4 linked regions of the Arabidopsis thaliana genome follow. The protein of the gene in region 4 interacts with the protein of the main gene of each other region in a pairwise test. Each region holds a gene or a part of one and is shown on either strand. Other genes may lie near its edges.

Region 1 (3,246 bases), on a different chromosome or scaffold from region 4:
TTTATAACCAACTAATTTAAAGGAATCAACAAAACAAGGTATATATATATATATATATATATATATATTAAGATTCAGTGAGTATACTTGTTTTTATGATCGAGCTTTTGTGGAATAAGGATATGTAAATGTGGTCAGTTCAGAAGTGACTTACTTATTTTCTTAAAAAGATAAAATTTTCACAAATAGCATCATTTCAAGTTTTTTGGACAAAAATATCACTCAAATAAATATTTTATTTTTAATTATTAAAATTTATAAATAAGAAAATTCAAAAAATAAATAAATTTCAGACAATATTTCCCCCCAAAAATTTCCATCAAAATTATTTCCACCAAAAACTTTTATAAACAAATTTTCCCGAAAAAAAAAAAAGAAATTCACGAAAGATTTTATAAAATTCATGAAGGATTTAAGAAATTCATGAAGGGTTTCAAGAAATTCAGAATTAAACTTTTTTTTTTTTGTAACCCTTCCTTAATTTCATGATAATTTTTCATGAATTTTGTAAAATCTTTTCTGAATTTTGTGGAAACTTTCAAGGAAATTTAGGAAGACTTCTACAAAACTAAGGAAGGGTTTCACGAAAGATTTTTTTTTGTGAAATCCTTCTTGAATTTTGTAAAATCTTTCTTGAATTTCGTGAAATTTTTTCCAGTTTTCGTAGAATCCTTCCTAAATTTTCTTATGTGGAAAAAATTTGACGGAATGTTTTGACAAAAATTGTTTTTGGCGGGAAAGTTTTTACGGAATTTTTTTTGGCGGGAAAATTTGACAAAAAAAAATTCACGGAAAAATTTGAAAGATTTTTTTTTCACGGAAAACTTTGACTGATAATTTTTTTAATTAGGTGCTATTTTAGGAAGAAAATGTTTTGAGTGCTATTTGTAGATATTTTCAAATGAGGTGCTATTTTTGGAAGAAAATGTTTTGAGTGCTATTTGTAGATATTTTCAAATGAGGTGCTATTTTTGGAAGAAATTTTGTGTGCTAATTGTGTCAATCTTTTTTTTTTTGTTAACCGATATTAATTAGAGCTCAACAAAGTCAATTCACGTAAAATGTTGTTTACATATGTGATATATTGTGGTTCAATATAATTTTTTTTGTGCAAAATTATCCGTATTTATATTTGCACTATGAAATATTAAAGGTAAATAAAAACTTATGAATTCTTCTTTATTAATTCCTTCAAATATACTGAGAATAATAATTCTTGTAAACTAGAGAAATTTTAACATTAACCTATTTTTCTATTTTCTTTGGGAGTTTCCTATTAAGGTAACTTTAAGAATAGAAACTAGTTATGTATTTAAAACGATACAAACTAGGATATCTAAATTGTATTAAAAAGATTGTACATTCAAAATTTGTATACGAGATCTTCAAATTTTGTATATAAACATCGAATTATATAAAATATTTTTAATAACTAAAAAAAAATATTTGTATCTTTGGCGGTCAACTAAACCTTTTTTTATAGCATATATATATGATATATAAAGTTTCTTTATGATATAATTATCTATCTAACATTTAAGATTGTATTAAAGTTTCGAATTTTATGTCTACGTAATTTTGTTTCCTTTCATTTTATACACAATGTTGTATTGTTTGTACATGAATTCTTTTCAAAATAATTTTTTAGATATCATTCATATAAAATAGAGCTAATGAGATAATAAATTACCTTGAAGGCTTGAACATTGTCGAGACAAAAGTTGAAAACAGAAGGACAAAAGATCACTGTCAAATAATTATTAATACATCAGAAAAATAATTAAAAACGATAATATTGTTTTCAGTATTCACCTACACATAATATGAATATCATGTTTACATATTTCGACCTTTTTTGATCGGTTCTAATAATCTATATCTCAAAACTAACCAATCTCATCTAGATTCCGTCAAATTAAGTTTAGTCTATAATTACGAAACTAAAAAATATTAGCAAATGGGAAAGTGCTAGAGTCATTGCACTAGTTTATTATGTGAAACACGAAGAAACACGGTGGCGCGTAGAAATCACCTAGAAACTACGAAGAAGACGTGAACCCCACGTCTCTCTTTCTTCTTCTTCTTTCTCTATCTCTTCCCATTACAAAACTCAAGAAGATGTTAAAGTACGAAACATGTCATACTTCAAAAGAAACGAAGGAACAATTGTGTTTGCGTTTGCGAGCATCGGGTTCATAGCGTTTTATATCATTAATTACTACATTCGGCGATGCAGAAACCGTGCCGCAGCAGCCGGGGACATTGAGGAAGCTCGAATGAGTCCGAGGAGGCCACCGCGAGGACTTGACGCTGAAGCCATCAAGTCGTTTCCTTCATTCGTTTACACGGAAGCTAGAGGAATTGAGCCAGGAATAGGCGAGCTAGAATGTGTTGTGTGTTTGAATGAATTCAAAGACGATGAAACGCTGCGTTTGGTACCACCTTGTGTACATGTGTTTCATGCTGACTGTGTAGACATCTGGCTTTCTCATAGCTCCACATGTCCTATCTGTCGTGCTAAAGTAGTTCCTTAATACGAGTCTCTTAATTAGCCTTTTACTATGCATTTTGCGTTACATAGTTCTCCCTTTGTAAATAAATTATCTTTATAGTGTTGATATTTTACCAACCGTAATGATGATACTACTCCATGGAAGGAAATAATCTACAAAGGAATTGAGGCATATTGAATTATTCAATGTCATGATGATGATGATGAATTAGACTAGAAAATGACAAAAACATAGTTTATCTCTTTGGTTACTTGTTCATGTATTACACACTAAACACATCTATTTGGCTTTGGAGAGGGACCACCTATCATGCTGTGTACAACAAATATGTATATATGTAAGTTACAAGTTAATGAAACGTTCGGATATATAGTTATATACCATACTTTGAAGGCTTTAATTAGTTACTCATATGATGTAAACATTTGTTATGGTGCGAATAATCTAGCACCAAATACATAAACCTTATTGGTCCGTCACATTCCATTGAGAGGACGTGAACATCAGAGGGATGTGACTGACCAATAAGGATTAGGTCAAAACTGTTGGAAAAGTCTTGTTGCGTAGATCAACAAGTTAATAGAGAGGGCATGAGTAATGTAGTACTTGTTCTACGTCTATAGTGACGTAAAGACTTCTTCAAAAGTCAAAACGTTAGAGGAAGAAGCCAAATCAATCATTCCGACCAAAACTAATCTAACTAAACATAGTAGTAATACAATATGTATTGTCG
Region 2 (2,833 bases), on a different chromosome or scaffold from region 4:
AAGAAAAAAGATATTTTTAAAAATAAATAATATAAAAGAGTATTATGGCAAAAAGGTAGTCAAAAAATATAGTTTTGCAAATCTCCCATTAATTTAACCAATTTCTTATCCATTTCGTAGGCCAAAGTTTCTCTTTTTCCTTCATAGGCATGGATGGGCCTGATCATTATTAATATCTCATATATTAGATGAGATAATCTCTTTGATCCTCAAAACAAGAAAATATTTTTTCGTTTGTGAAAACAAGAAGGTGAGCAGTTACAAACTCCTCATAAAAATAATGATCTACATGTCTTTAAATAAACAAGAATATACGAGATTTTCCTAAAGTTTTTATGAGGAATTTAAATAAATTATGCAAAGGGAAATATCAAACTAGACACAAAATTGAAGTAAAATAAGATAGAAGTAGAAGTTATTATCCTCTTCACTGAAAATTTACCAAGACACATAATCATGGTCCTTTAAGGTGGCAGAGAACTTGAACATGGAATAATGAGCCACCGTTTTCGAGATAGTATTCTGTCATGGTCCAACCACTGGCTTGTCTCTCACCTTTGACGTAGAAACTTAGACTTCTTCCCAATCACTGCACCGGTATCTTCCAACACGACATCACTCAACTTCCCATGGCCTTTCCAACATCCATCAACCGTCTCTCCTTTGACTTTGCGGCTGATGCGTTTTCCAGTAACGTTTTCAGAGAGATGATTCACTTTCACGAACTAGAACCATTCATTAGGTTCCAAAAAGTTAGTCTCGGTGTGAGACAACCGCCACGGCTCTTTGGCATAGATGTCAAACTTGTCTTCTAATTCAAATTCTTTATTTGATCTTTTGGTAACCTTAGGCCCGATATAACGGATGATGAGTTCTTGGGCAGAAGGATGAAACCAAAACCCAACATGTTCCTCTTTATCGTAGTACTTAACCATCGACATATTCTTTTCTTGTTCTATGAGACAAAGAAAACGCAAATCAGACAAAAAGTTAAGGATCTATATATTATAGCAATAATCCAAGGGGAACAACAAATGATCTTTAGAGCAAAACTGAAAAACAATAATAAACGCGTTGAAGACTTGAAACTTTCAGGTAGACAAATAGAAAAGGTGATTTCGTATATATATGTGGATTTTAAGGATTTTTAATATATTAGGAAAACGATTCTTTAAAAAGGAAATATATCCATGTAATTCAAAGCCAATATTCTTAAAATTAGATAAGTAAGCCAATATCACATTTTTTCTTTTCAAATTTGTAATGTTGGTTTTAGCGTATGATATTTTGTCTACTATTTTCTTTTTAAACTTATTTTGTCTTATATCTTTTTACAAACTAAAAAACAAGATTATTCTTTTACTTATCTAAATAATGTTCAAAGACTGGAAGATTTCTTGCTCTTCTGATATGGAGAGATACTTGTATTAGTACTTGAAGAAGCTTATGCCTCAAATATTTTCTTGCTCTCCAAAAAATGCATTGACATGATCGTGATCGGTTGCACAAAAAATGGTATCCACTCTCTAAACTTTTAGAACAAGTACTCTTTCAAGAAGAAAGAGAAAAAATCTATTTACAACGAATAAGTCGATGTCTAACTCGGAAAAACAAAATGTTGGATCATCATCATTGGAGCCTAAAAGAAAATTGTTGTTAAACTATAATTGTTGCCCTTAAATAAACAGGCAAAAACGATGTTGTTAAAAAGACTTTTAAAAACATTGGCAATGTCATAAAAACGGCAACGTTTTAAGGAAAGTTTCAAACGTCGTCGTCTTGAGGACTAAAGTTGAAGTCTTAAAAAGGCGACACGTTTCGGGACAAAGCTGAGGGGAAATCTTCGCGACGACTGTGAGAGTTTGTTTCGCGAACATTCTCTGAGTTTCTCTCGACGCGACGGCGATTGCGAATGTCTTCTCCTTCTGATTCTCGTCTCTCTGTGTCTCCGGTAATTTCTCTCAATTTTCTCTCTCTGTTGGATTCTTTTAGCTTGTTTTGGATTTGTTACCGATTCTACTCCGTGACTTGGCCTTTCTCAGTGCTATTAGTGAACAGAGATAAACTTTAGGGTTTGAACTTTTTTTTTTGGATGAATGATTTGAATCCTTTTTAACGTTAGAGTTGTTCTTTGTTAATGGAAGCTATCATTGTTACTTTGGTTTACTCTAAAGCTTCTTGTTCGACGATTTTTCCTCTGCAACTAGAAATGGTTGTGTTTATGTCAAAACTTGAAACCATGTTTATGGTTTTCGCTAGTTAGGTCTTGTTTTTGTTTTTCCTTTTGCCTTATCTGCTTGACTCTACTGGATTTCTGAATGTGTTCTTCTGCTGGATTCTACTTGAAACCAGGGATAAGTAATCGAAGATGAATATGATTCAGCGATTCATGCAATCTATGGCAAAGACGCGTGGCCTCTGTCATCCAGATTGCGTAAAAGCAAGTAGTGAGCAAGAAGATTACGGTAAATGAATCAAATCTTGTTCTAGAGAACATTACTTTATTCGCATCGTTAAGAGATACTGTGATTGATTTTAGCTGATAGTAGTTTACTCCCTTTTTAATATAGTCTAATCCTTTGAAAGAGTCATATGAATTGACTACAACATTTTCATTTTTTTTTTGTCTTGCAGATGCGTCTCAGCTCAGTATTTGGTGGATAATGCTGGGAAGGAAGACGACCAGGGAGAAATGGATGAACCAAGCTCTCAGTTCACTATCGAAAACTTGCATCAGTATATGGTGGAAAATGTCTGGAATAAGAGGTAAGATGTGCAGGGAGAGGGAGCAACCACTCACTGTCAAAGACTGCCTTGAATGTGCTTTCAAGAA
Region 3 (4,486 bases), on a different chromosome or scaffold from region 4:
AAAGCACTTCATGTGGCGGATAGTAACTCAATCATTGGCGACAGGCGAGGCCTTGACACGACGACATATCATTTCAGATTCACAGTGTAAACGATGTTGTGCAGCTCCTGAAACATTAGAACGCCTATTCTTTGGATGCCATTATGTTCAAGCTATTTGGAGGGGCTCTCCGGTGTCACATACAGCGTTTTTCAATCCACACTTACCTTTTGAAGATAAATTCAGATTAATCCTTCAATGCTGTACTGATACGAGACAAGACCATATCACAAGACAAATACCTTTATGGATGTTGTGGCACATATGGAAGAGCAGGAATTTGTTAGTTTACCAGCGAAAAGGGAGTAATTGGCAAGATGATGTACAAAAAGCGATAACAGACTCATATGAGTGGATTCCTCTGCAGCGAGACACACAACGACGAAGTCTAAATGACAGAAGCGGGCAAGGGTAGCAAAAACCTATTCACGGCTTTATCAAATGCAATTATGACTGCAGTTTCTCAAGGAATGATCTAGCACCAAAGGCTGGTTGGATTTTACGAATTGACACAGGCAGTTATCTACTTGCGGCTCAAGGTACAAGACAACTATGCAACTCAGTGCTAGAAGCGGAACTACAGGCTCTCTTGATGGCAATGCAACATACATGGAGTAGAGGATATCGAAAGATTATATTTGAAGGTGATAATAGGACTGTGGAAAGCTTACTCAATGGGAACACAAGGAATTTTGAACTTCATAACCTCGTCATGGAGATACAACATTGGCGGAAGAAGTTTTCTACTGCCATTATCAAATGGTCTTTCCGGTCAACTAACAAAGCAGCTGATCGATTAGCTAAAGTGGAGTTAGAAAACATTGTTACTTTTGTCTCTCATTCTTATGTACCTCTGTTTCTTGTACAAATCCTCCATAGGATTACACATCATCCCTCTAATAAAGTATATCTGTTAATGTTAAAAAAAAATAAAAAAAAAAGAATCGGTTATTTTCGGGTTTTAAACTTAAAAACCAAAGAAACCAATATCCGAATCGAACCGAACCGTAATAAATTTCGGTTAGTTTCGGAAGAATTTTCAAAAATCCAAAATAACCGAAACCCGAAATAACCGACTCGGTTCGGTTCGGTTTACCCGAAGTCGCAGGCCTAATATTTTATATCAACAATTGACATATATTTTGACCCAAAAAAAAAAAATCAACAATTGACATATATTTGTTTTTATTAAAGTTTAATTTACATATTATGGAAGTCTCAAAATATTTGTTAAACAATGGCAAATATTTGTTAGACATATTTCATCTATTTAGCATGCACAACACGAATCCATATCTAATATTAGAAAGAATTATCCTTTGATTCTTTTTTTCTGAAGGAAATTTTGATTAATGGTAAGATTTGTTTATAAGCCCAAAAGCACAAATATTCTCCTACTTATAGCATGATATATTTTGAAGTGAATGTAAATTAAGAATTATTTTCGTAACAACAAATTTTATATTTATACAAAATAAATTAAATTCAGTTTCTTTCTCTCTTCTCTTTCTCGGTTTCCCCATTTTCTATCTAGACAAAGAGTGTTGTCTGAATTGGCTCTGTCTCAAAAAATGAAATTCTCAAATTAACCACAACGATCTTTAGAGCCTTCTTCGCTCACCGATCTCTGAAACCCTGGTTTGCTCTCGTCCTCTTCGTGTAACGATTCTTCTTCTTGATAAATTTTTAATCTTTGTTTCGGCTTTTCGATGAAATTGTTTTTTTTTTGGATCTCGTCTCTATCAGCTCATGTTCTTCTTTGATTATATGATAATTGTTGTTTCCTTTGCTCTGTTTTATGATTATTGTTGATTTTTGAGATTGAAATGTTCGAGGGTTTCTACTGTTCACTGTTCTTTACACGTATCAATGTTTTCTTGATCATGTTCTCTTATGATGTTAATAGAGAGACTAGTGTTATTGTGATGAATGATTCTTGTTAACTAAATTTGTCATTTTTGTTTTCACTTGACATTCATTTCTCTAACCATTTATTATAGGTAGTTTCTATGAGTATGTCGCAGTCTCGAGCTGTCCAAAGATCGTCTTCACCTAATGAGGATAGAGGTGAGAATCAGTTAGTGGTTTATGACTTGAAAGGAAATGATGATACTGAAGAAGAAGTTCTACCGGTTCAATCTCAGCCTTTGTCATCTAGAACACAGTGTCCCTCTATCGGGGCATTTACGGTTCAGTGTGCAAGTTGTTTCAAATGGAGACTCATGCCTTCAATGCAGAAGTATGAAGAGATTAGGGAACAGCTTCTTGAAAACCCGTTTTTCTGCGATACAGCGCGTGAGTGGAAGCCGGATATTTCTTGTGATGTTCCTGCTGATATCTATCAAGATGGAACTCGTCTTTGGGCTATTGATAAACCGAATATCTCTCGTCCACCCGCTGGCTGGCAACGTTTACTGCGGATTAGAGGTGAAGGAGGTACCAGATTTGCTGATGTGTATGTCGTTCGTTAACTCTTCTCTCATTTATGTTAATATTAGTCTTTCTTCTTTATACCATTGTATTGGCTTTCTTTATCATTCTTTTATCTTGGTTGTTTCAGTTATTATGTTGCTCCGTCTGGAAAGAAGCTTCGATCAACTGTGGAGGTCCAAAAGTTAGTTTCTCTACCACTCCATTTCCACATTTTCGTTTTCACATTTAACAAAGTGTTCCTTACTTTTATGTTTGATGAGGTCTCACTGTATCAGTCTTACCATTTTCGTCAACCAATATATTGAATCAGTAGGAACCTCAAGTATTGTTCTGTGGTCATAACTAGAGTTAGGCACTTATGCAAATTACAGAAATCCTTGCATGTGTTTTGTTTACTAACGAAAATGTACTATGCCAAGAAGTTAGTTAAACTATCATCCTTATTTCCATGATACTTCCCTGCAGCATTTGAGAGTGACAACAATGGTAGGAGAAAAAAGCTTAGTGACTTACCAATTCGTTTAGTGATTACCAAATTGTTTTCAGTGACGTATAGCTAGCTTCTTTACACCCTTATAACCACTATTACTGGTTTGCAGGTACTTGAATGACAACTCCGAATACATTGGAGAAGGGGTGAAACTTTCACAGTTCTCGTTTCAAATCCCGAAACCGCTGCAGGATGACTACGTGAGGAAGCGCCCAGCTCGACTACTGGATTCCATCGATAATACAAACACCCCTGTAGCTAAAGAAGGTGTGTTGCTTATCAAGGCACATAAATATAATTGTGGTTATCTTTTGTATCAAGGCTTTAGATTATTGATGTCATTTTTTCAGTCAAGAGTGTATTTGACGTATACTCGAACCGAACATTGGTGTCTTTAGGGAACTTTATTAACATGAAAACGTCTATGCTTTTACAAGTTTCTAACATTTCGCTTGTCTTGTTATTTTTCAGCTAATCCACTGGCATGGATATCTCCAGATGATCATATATCGTTGCAGCTAGGTACGCCAACCGAGTCTGGACTTAACAATTCACATTACCAACCATCGAAAAAGAAAAAAACATCGACGCTATCAATCTTTGGCTCCAACGACGAACTTGCTGATAGATAATCTAGCTAGACGAGAGTGAACTTATCTCGTCTTCTCTGGTATATAACCCGTCTTCTTTCTTCGTTTTTTGGGTTTGTCTTATCGAAGAAACTGAAAGCATGTGGTTAGCTTGTTTTTTGTGTATACCATCTATTTTGTTTTGCAGTGTAACATACTTTCTATGAAGAAGATGGGTCCTTTTGGTTTTTGCTTCCAAATAACTGGATTTTCATGCTGAAAGTTTTTAAACCTAAAGTTTGATTATTACCAAATTCCATTATCTCACAAATCCACTAGAGGACTGACACAAGAAAGCAGATAAGAATAGATCAGAGTCTGTTTAACTGTAGATGTGCATGTTAAGTTGGAACGTAGTTTATCTCAAAGGATATTTTAACGACATCCAAAAGATAACATTCGAAAGTCAAAACCATCCTAGGGGAGATATGGCTGAAGCTATTAGTTTGGTAAACATACAACAACAAAACTATGCCATATCTCTAATCTGCGCAAAAGGCAGAAACAAAAACTAACAACAAATCTGCCTTCTACTATCCTGCTTCGTGCATTCCCTATTCAGTTTTCCCGTGGTTAAGCCGTATCATCGGAACCAAGTGATGGGAGTGGGAGTAGTACTGACTTGAGGAAGCTGCGGAATCATACAGTTTTGCGCTTGCTGCCACGGATGCAAGCCAAAACCATAGGTGTGCTCTTGCTCTTGCTGCTGTCCTTGCTGAGGGAAAGATAGACTGGTGCTTCCAGTATCCTCTTCTATCTCATTGGATGCATCATCCATTACCACATCCTCACCTGTCTCATCCAACTCAGTAATCTCTAGTGTCCGCGGTTGTTGGAAGGTTCCTATGGACTGTGAGTAAGTAGACTGAGACGGATTCCAGCAAACAACAGCTTG
Region 4 (4,253 bases):
TATGAAAAATGTAAGATAGTAAAAGTCATATCATGTGAATAATAAGAAGTACAATGTTGAAGGCTATGGTAAAATAGTACAAAACAAGTGAAGGATATGGTGTGAAGATAGGTTTTAACGATTGGGAGAAATTACTTAACTTATTTCGTAGAAAAATGATTTGTCAAAAGAATGTGTTATTCTTAAAGAGTTTTGGTTAAACTTTCAAAAAAAAGAATGATGGGAATGGGATCACTCATAGTTTCTACTAATGGTAACAATTCTTGAACAAAAAAGAAGAATTTATTACAATTTTGGATGCTTTTAAGTTTTTGAACAGAAAATATAGGAAAAATAAATGAAACTAGAGCCTAAAAGTCAGCAAGTTTATGTAGTCATGATTATAACCATTAACCAATAAGAGTATGAGACCAATAAAAGAGAGATGATTAAAACACAGAACCTAGCTAAGCAATAACAAACAAACAAATAAGCAAAATGGTCTGTGAACTGTGAAGTGTGAACACGAACCGGATCGGTCAACAAAATCAGGTATGACTATTTACTCCACAAAGCACAAATAATATGAAGACACGTGTTTTTGAATTATGTATTCCTATTTGTATAATACACGCGTCATTCACTCATTAGCTGCATGTCATTTTTCTCATCCGCTCGCAGGTAGGAAAAATACAGTGTACCTCGCGCCGATTATATGAATTTATCAGCCTCATCATAATTCATAAATAATAAATAGACGAAATGAAACAATTCTGGAATAGAAATATGCTGATCTAAACAAAATGGATGATTATAAAAATATATAAACAATTTTAAGAAAATTTGGTGGATACTTTTCTTATTTTTGAAAAATTTCATGAAAAGAGAGAATGTAAAAATAGACTTGTTATCTTACAATTGTTTTCTACATTGCGCTACATAAAAAATTAAGAGTACATAATATATTTCGTTTGAACATTTATTCCTTTTATAAAATTATGTTAATGTAGTCATGTTTCTAAATTAAATTAACAAAATGTTAATGTAGATTAAATATCTTACTTTTTTTTGAAATTTCAATTAGTTTCCAAAATATAAATATTTCTATATATAGTATAAAATAATTCATAATCAAATCCTAATTGAAAAGAAGTAAAGATTATTTTAACAAAAAAGGGGTTTGACATTAGAGGGTAAAGACGATAACTTTAACGACAAGTTTTAGGTGGATTAAAAAAAGAAAAGTTAGGTTGTATCATTAAATATTCCATATGCATCATTTTAAGAGGTGTTTAAAATTTTAAACACAAATTTAAAGAAAAACACGATATTTTTATTTAATTTACTATTTTATATAAAACGCCAGAAAATAAAATAAATACAAGTATTCAACTAATAAAAACATATTATAAAATATGATTGGTCAGAAAAAAGTAAAGTGAAAGATCGCTAAAACATCACTTAAAGTAATTCTGAGGAAGTATTAGTATTTATGGTAATCATTTATCATTACATATTTTTTTTACTAACACAGTCTAATATTATTTTTTCTAACACTACTACAGTTTTATTTACTGTCAAAAAGTTTTTACCATCTTGTGTGTCATCAAACAAATCTACTCGCTTAGGTATTTTGAAATATAAAATTGCCTAAGAAACGGAAAATATCGTTGGAAAAAACCCGGAAAATATGAAAATAGTGTGAGGAGACTACACCCACTATATAAACAAGAGCCAAGCAGGTGAGGTTAGTTCATCGGTGAGGTTGAGAGTAATTCACTACACACACACAAAAAATAAATTGAGTGCCTCCCCCAAAAACAAAATTGGTAGATAACGAGCAATTGTTTTTTTTCAGATTTGATCCTGAATTTTTACATTTTTTTTTTTGCAATCTCCCCCTAATCTGTTGTTTCTCGCTTCTTCTTCTGTTAATCATCTGTCTTTCAAAAAGAAAGAAAAAAGAAAAATTCGATTTCTGGGTTTGTTTTTGTCATACAGAAAAAAATCAAGCTTATGAATTTGTGTTTAATTTTTTGTTTTAATTTGAAAGGCAGGTTTTTTCAGAACGAGATCGTTTTTTCAAATTTCTTCTGATTTTACCTCTTTTTTTCTTCTTAGATTTTAGTGAATCGAGGGTGAAATTTTTGATTCCCTCTTTTCGGATCTACACAGAGGTTGCTTATTTCAAACCTTTTAGATCCATTTTTTTTTAATTTTCTCGGAAAAATCCCTGTTTCTTTACTTTTTTATAAGTCTCAGGTTCAATTTTTTCGGATTCAAATTTTTATTTTAAATGGCAGCTGCTATGAATTTGTACACTTGTAGCAGATCGTTTCAAGACTCTGGTGGTGAACTCATGGACGCGCTTGTACCTTTTATCAAAAGCGTTTCCGATTCTCCTTCTTCTTCTTCTGCAGCGTCTGCGTCTGCGTTTCTTCACCCCTCTGCGTTTTCTCTCCCTCCTCTCCCCGGTTATTACCCGGATTCAACGTTCTTGACCCAACCGTTTTCATACGGGTCGGATCTTCAACAAACCGGGTCATTAATCGGACTCAACAACCTCTCTTCTTCTCAGATCCACCAGATCCAGTCTCAGATCCATCATCCTCTTCCTCCGACGCATCACAACAACAACAACTCTTTCTCGAATCTTCTCAGCCCAAAGCCGTTACTGATGAAGCAATCTGGAGTCGCTGGATCTTGTTTCGCTTACGGTTCAGGTGTTCCTTCGAAGCCGACGAAGCTTTACAGAGGTGTGAGGCAACGTCACTGGGGAAAATGGGTGGCTGAGATCCGTTTGCCGAGAAATCGGACTCGTCTCTGGCTTGGGACTTTTGACACGGCGGAGGAAGCTGCGTTGGCCTATGATAAGGCGGCGTACAAGCTGCGCGGCGATTTCGCCCGGCTTAACTTCCCTAACCTACGTCATAACGGATCTCACATCGGAGGCGATTTCGGTGAATATAAACCTCTTCACTCCTCAGTCGACGCTAAGCTTGAAGCTATTTGTAAAAGCATGGCGGAGACTCAGAAACAGGACAAATCGACGAAATCATCGAAGAAACGTGAGAAGAAGGTTTCGTCGCCAGATCTATCGGAGAAAGTGAAGGCGGAGGAGAATTCGGTTTCGATCGGTGGATCTCCACCGGTGACGGAGTTTGAAGAGTCCACCGCTGGATCTTCGCCGTTGTCGGACTTGACGTTCGCTGACCCGGAGGAGCCGCCGCAGTGGAACGAGACGTTCTCGTTGGAGAAGTATCCGTCGTACGAGATCGATTGGGATTCGATTCTAGCTTAGGGGCAAAATAGGAAATTCAGCCGCTTGCAATGGAGTTTTTGTGAAATTGCATGACTGGCCCAAGAGTAATTAATTAAATATGGATTAGTGTTAAATTTCGTATGTTAATATTTGTATTATGGTTTGTATTAGTCTCTCTGTGTCGGTCCAGCTTGCGGTTTTTTGTCAGGCTCGACCATGCCACAGTTTTCATTTTATGTAATCTTTTTTTCTTTTGTCTTATGTAATTTGTAGCTTCAGTTTCTTCATCTATAATGCAATTTTATTATGATTATGTAATTGACAAGGCCATAACATTTTGATTACGATAAACCATGATCATGTTTAAGAAGATGACTTAACAAATGTAATCTAAGAACTTGAAGATTGGATTTGTAGTTTGGTGAATGAAGAATAGTTAAATGTATCACCAAGTAGTTTTTTTTTTTTTTTTTTTTGACATATGAAACCAATTAACAAGTCTTCACCTACCTAAATTGGTATTATGATATTAACACCTTCTATTACAATTCTAATGAAGCACGTCTCTTTGAGAGTATCGTCGTCATATGTTTTAACGTTTTCGTAATCTGTCAATCCGTCTAAAGTTTTGATTCGTCGAGATAAAATCGGAAAGTCGATTTGATATTGATTGACAATTTATATTACCTCTAAATAAATCATGTTGTAGTCGGATTGATAGAAGAATCAAGTAGTATGTATAGTAACGTTCTAGTCATAATTTACATGTGGCAGAACGGGTTTGTTCCACTAAAAAATTGTTATGTTTTCAAAATGTTTATATATGTGGAATTTTCATCTATGAATGTTTGTAACGCATTTACATGATATTACTCATTTGCTAACACGTCAACAGTCAACTTGTTCTTCATGTTAACATTTGTTGGATCTTTCTCGCACGTTCTCAACTTTGTTGTATAAGAAATCATTATCAAACATATATATATTTCTTGTCCGTTTTATTATCACTAAT

The links.
Region 1: the proteins of RAP2.4 (region 4) and AT4G09100 interact in a two-hybrid assay, tested with the Arabidopsis thaliana proteins (one large-scale study listed by BioGRID).
Region 2: the proteins of RAP2.4 (region 4) and AT5G18037 interact in a two-hybrid assay, tested with the Arabidopsis thaliana proteins (one large-scale study listed by BioGRID).
Region 3: the proteins of RAP2.4 (region 4) and MBD02 interact in a two-hybrid assay, tested with the Arabidopsis thaliana proteins (one large-scale study listed by BioGRID).

The regions. Positions count from the first base shown.
Region 1 is NC_003075.7:5,809,121-5,812,366, forward strand, and holds AT4G09100 (RING/U-box superfamily protein), read left to right. Parts: upstream 1-1,994; 5' UTR 1,995-2,135; coding exon 2,136-2,534; 3' UTR 2,535-2,726; downstream 2,727-3,246.
Region 2 is NC_003076.8:5,970,588-5,973,420, forward strand, and holds AT5G18037 (NAC (No Apical Meristem) domain transcriptional regulator superfamily protein), read right to left. Parts: upstream 980-2,833; 5' UTR 942-979; coding exon 726-941; 3' UTR 514-725; downstream 1-513. Other genes in the region: AT5G18040 (target of trans acting-siR480/255 protein), read left to right, coding at 2,369-2,465, 2,635-2,833.
Region 3 is NC_003076.8:13,522,833-13,527,318, reverse strand, and holds MBD02 (methyl-CPG-binding domain protein 02), read left to right. Parts: upstream 1-1,520; 5' UTR 1,521-1,698; exon of another isoform or gene 1,699-2,043; 5' UTR 2,044-2,048; coding exon 2,049-2,494; intron 2,495-2,599; coding exon 2,600-2,653; intron 2,654-3,071; coding exon 3,072-3,229; intron 3,230-3,433; coding exon 3,434-3,594; 3' UTR 3,595-3,916; downstream 3,917-4,486. Other genes in the region: AT5G35320 (DBH-like monooxygenase), read right to left, coding at 4,175-4,486. UniProt on the Arabidopsis thaliana protein: Probable transcriptional regulator.
Region 4 is NC_003070.9:29,362,515-29,366,767, forward strand, and holds RAP2.4 (uncharacterized protein), read left to right. Parts: upstream 1-1,557; 5' UTR 1,558-2,275; coding exon 2,276-3,280; 3' UTR 3,281-3,693; downstream 3,694-4,253.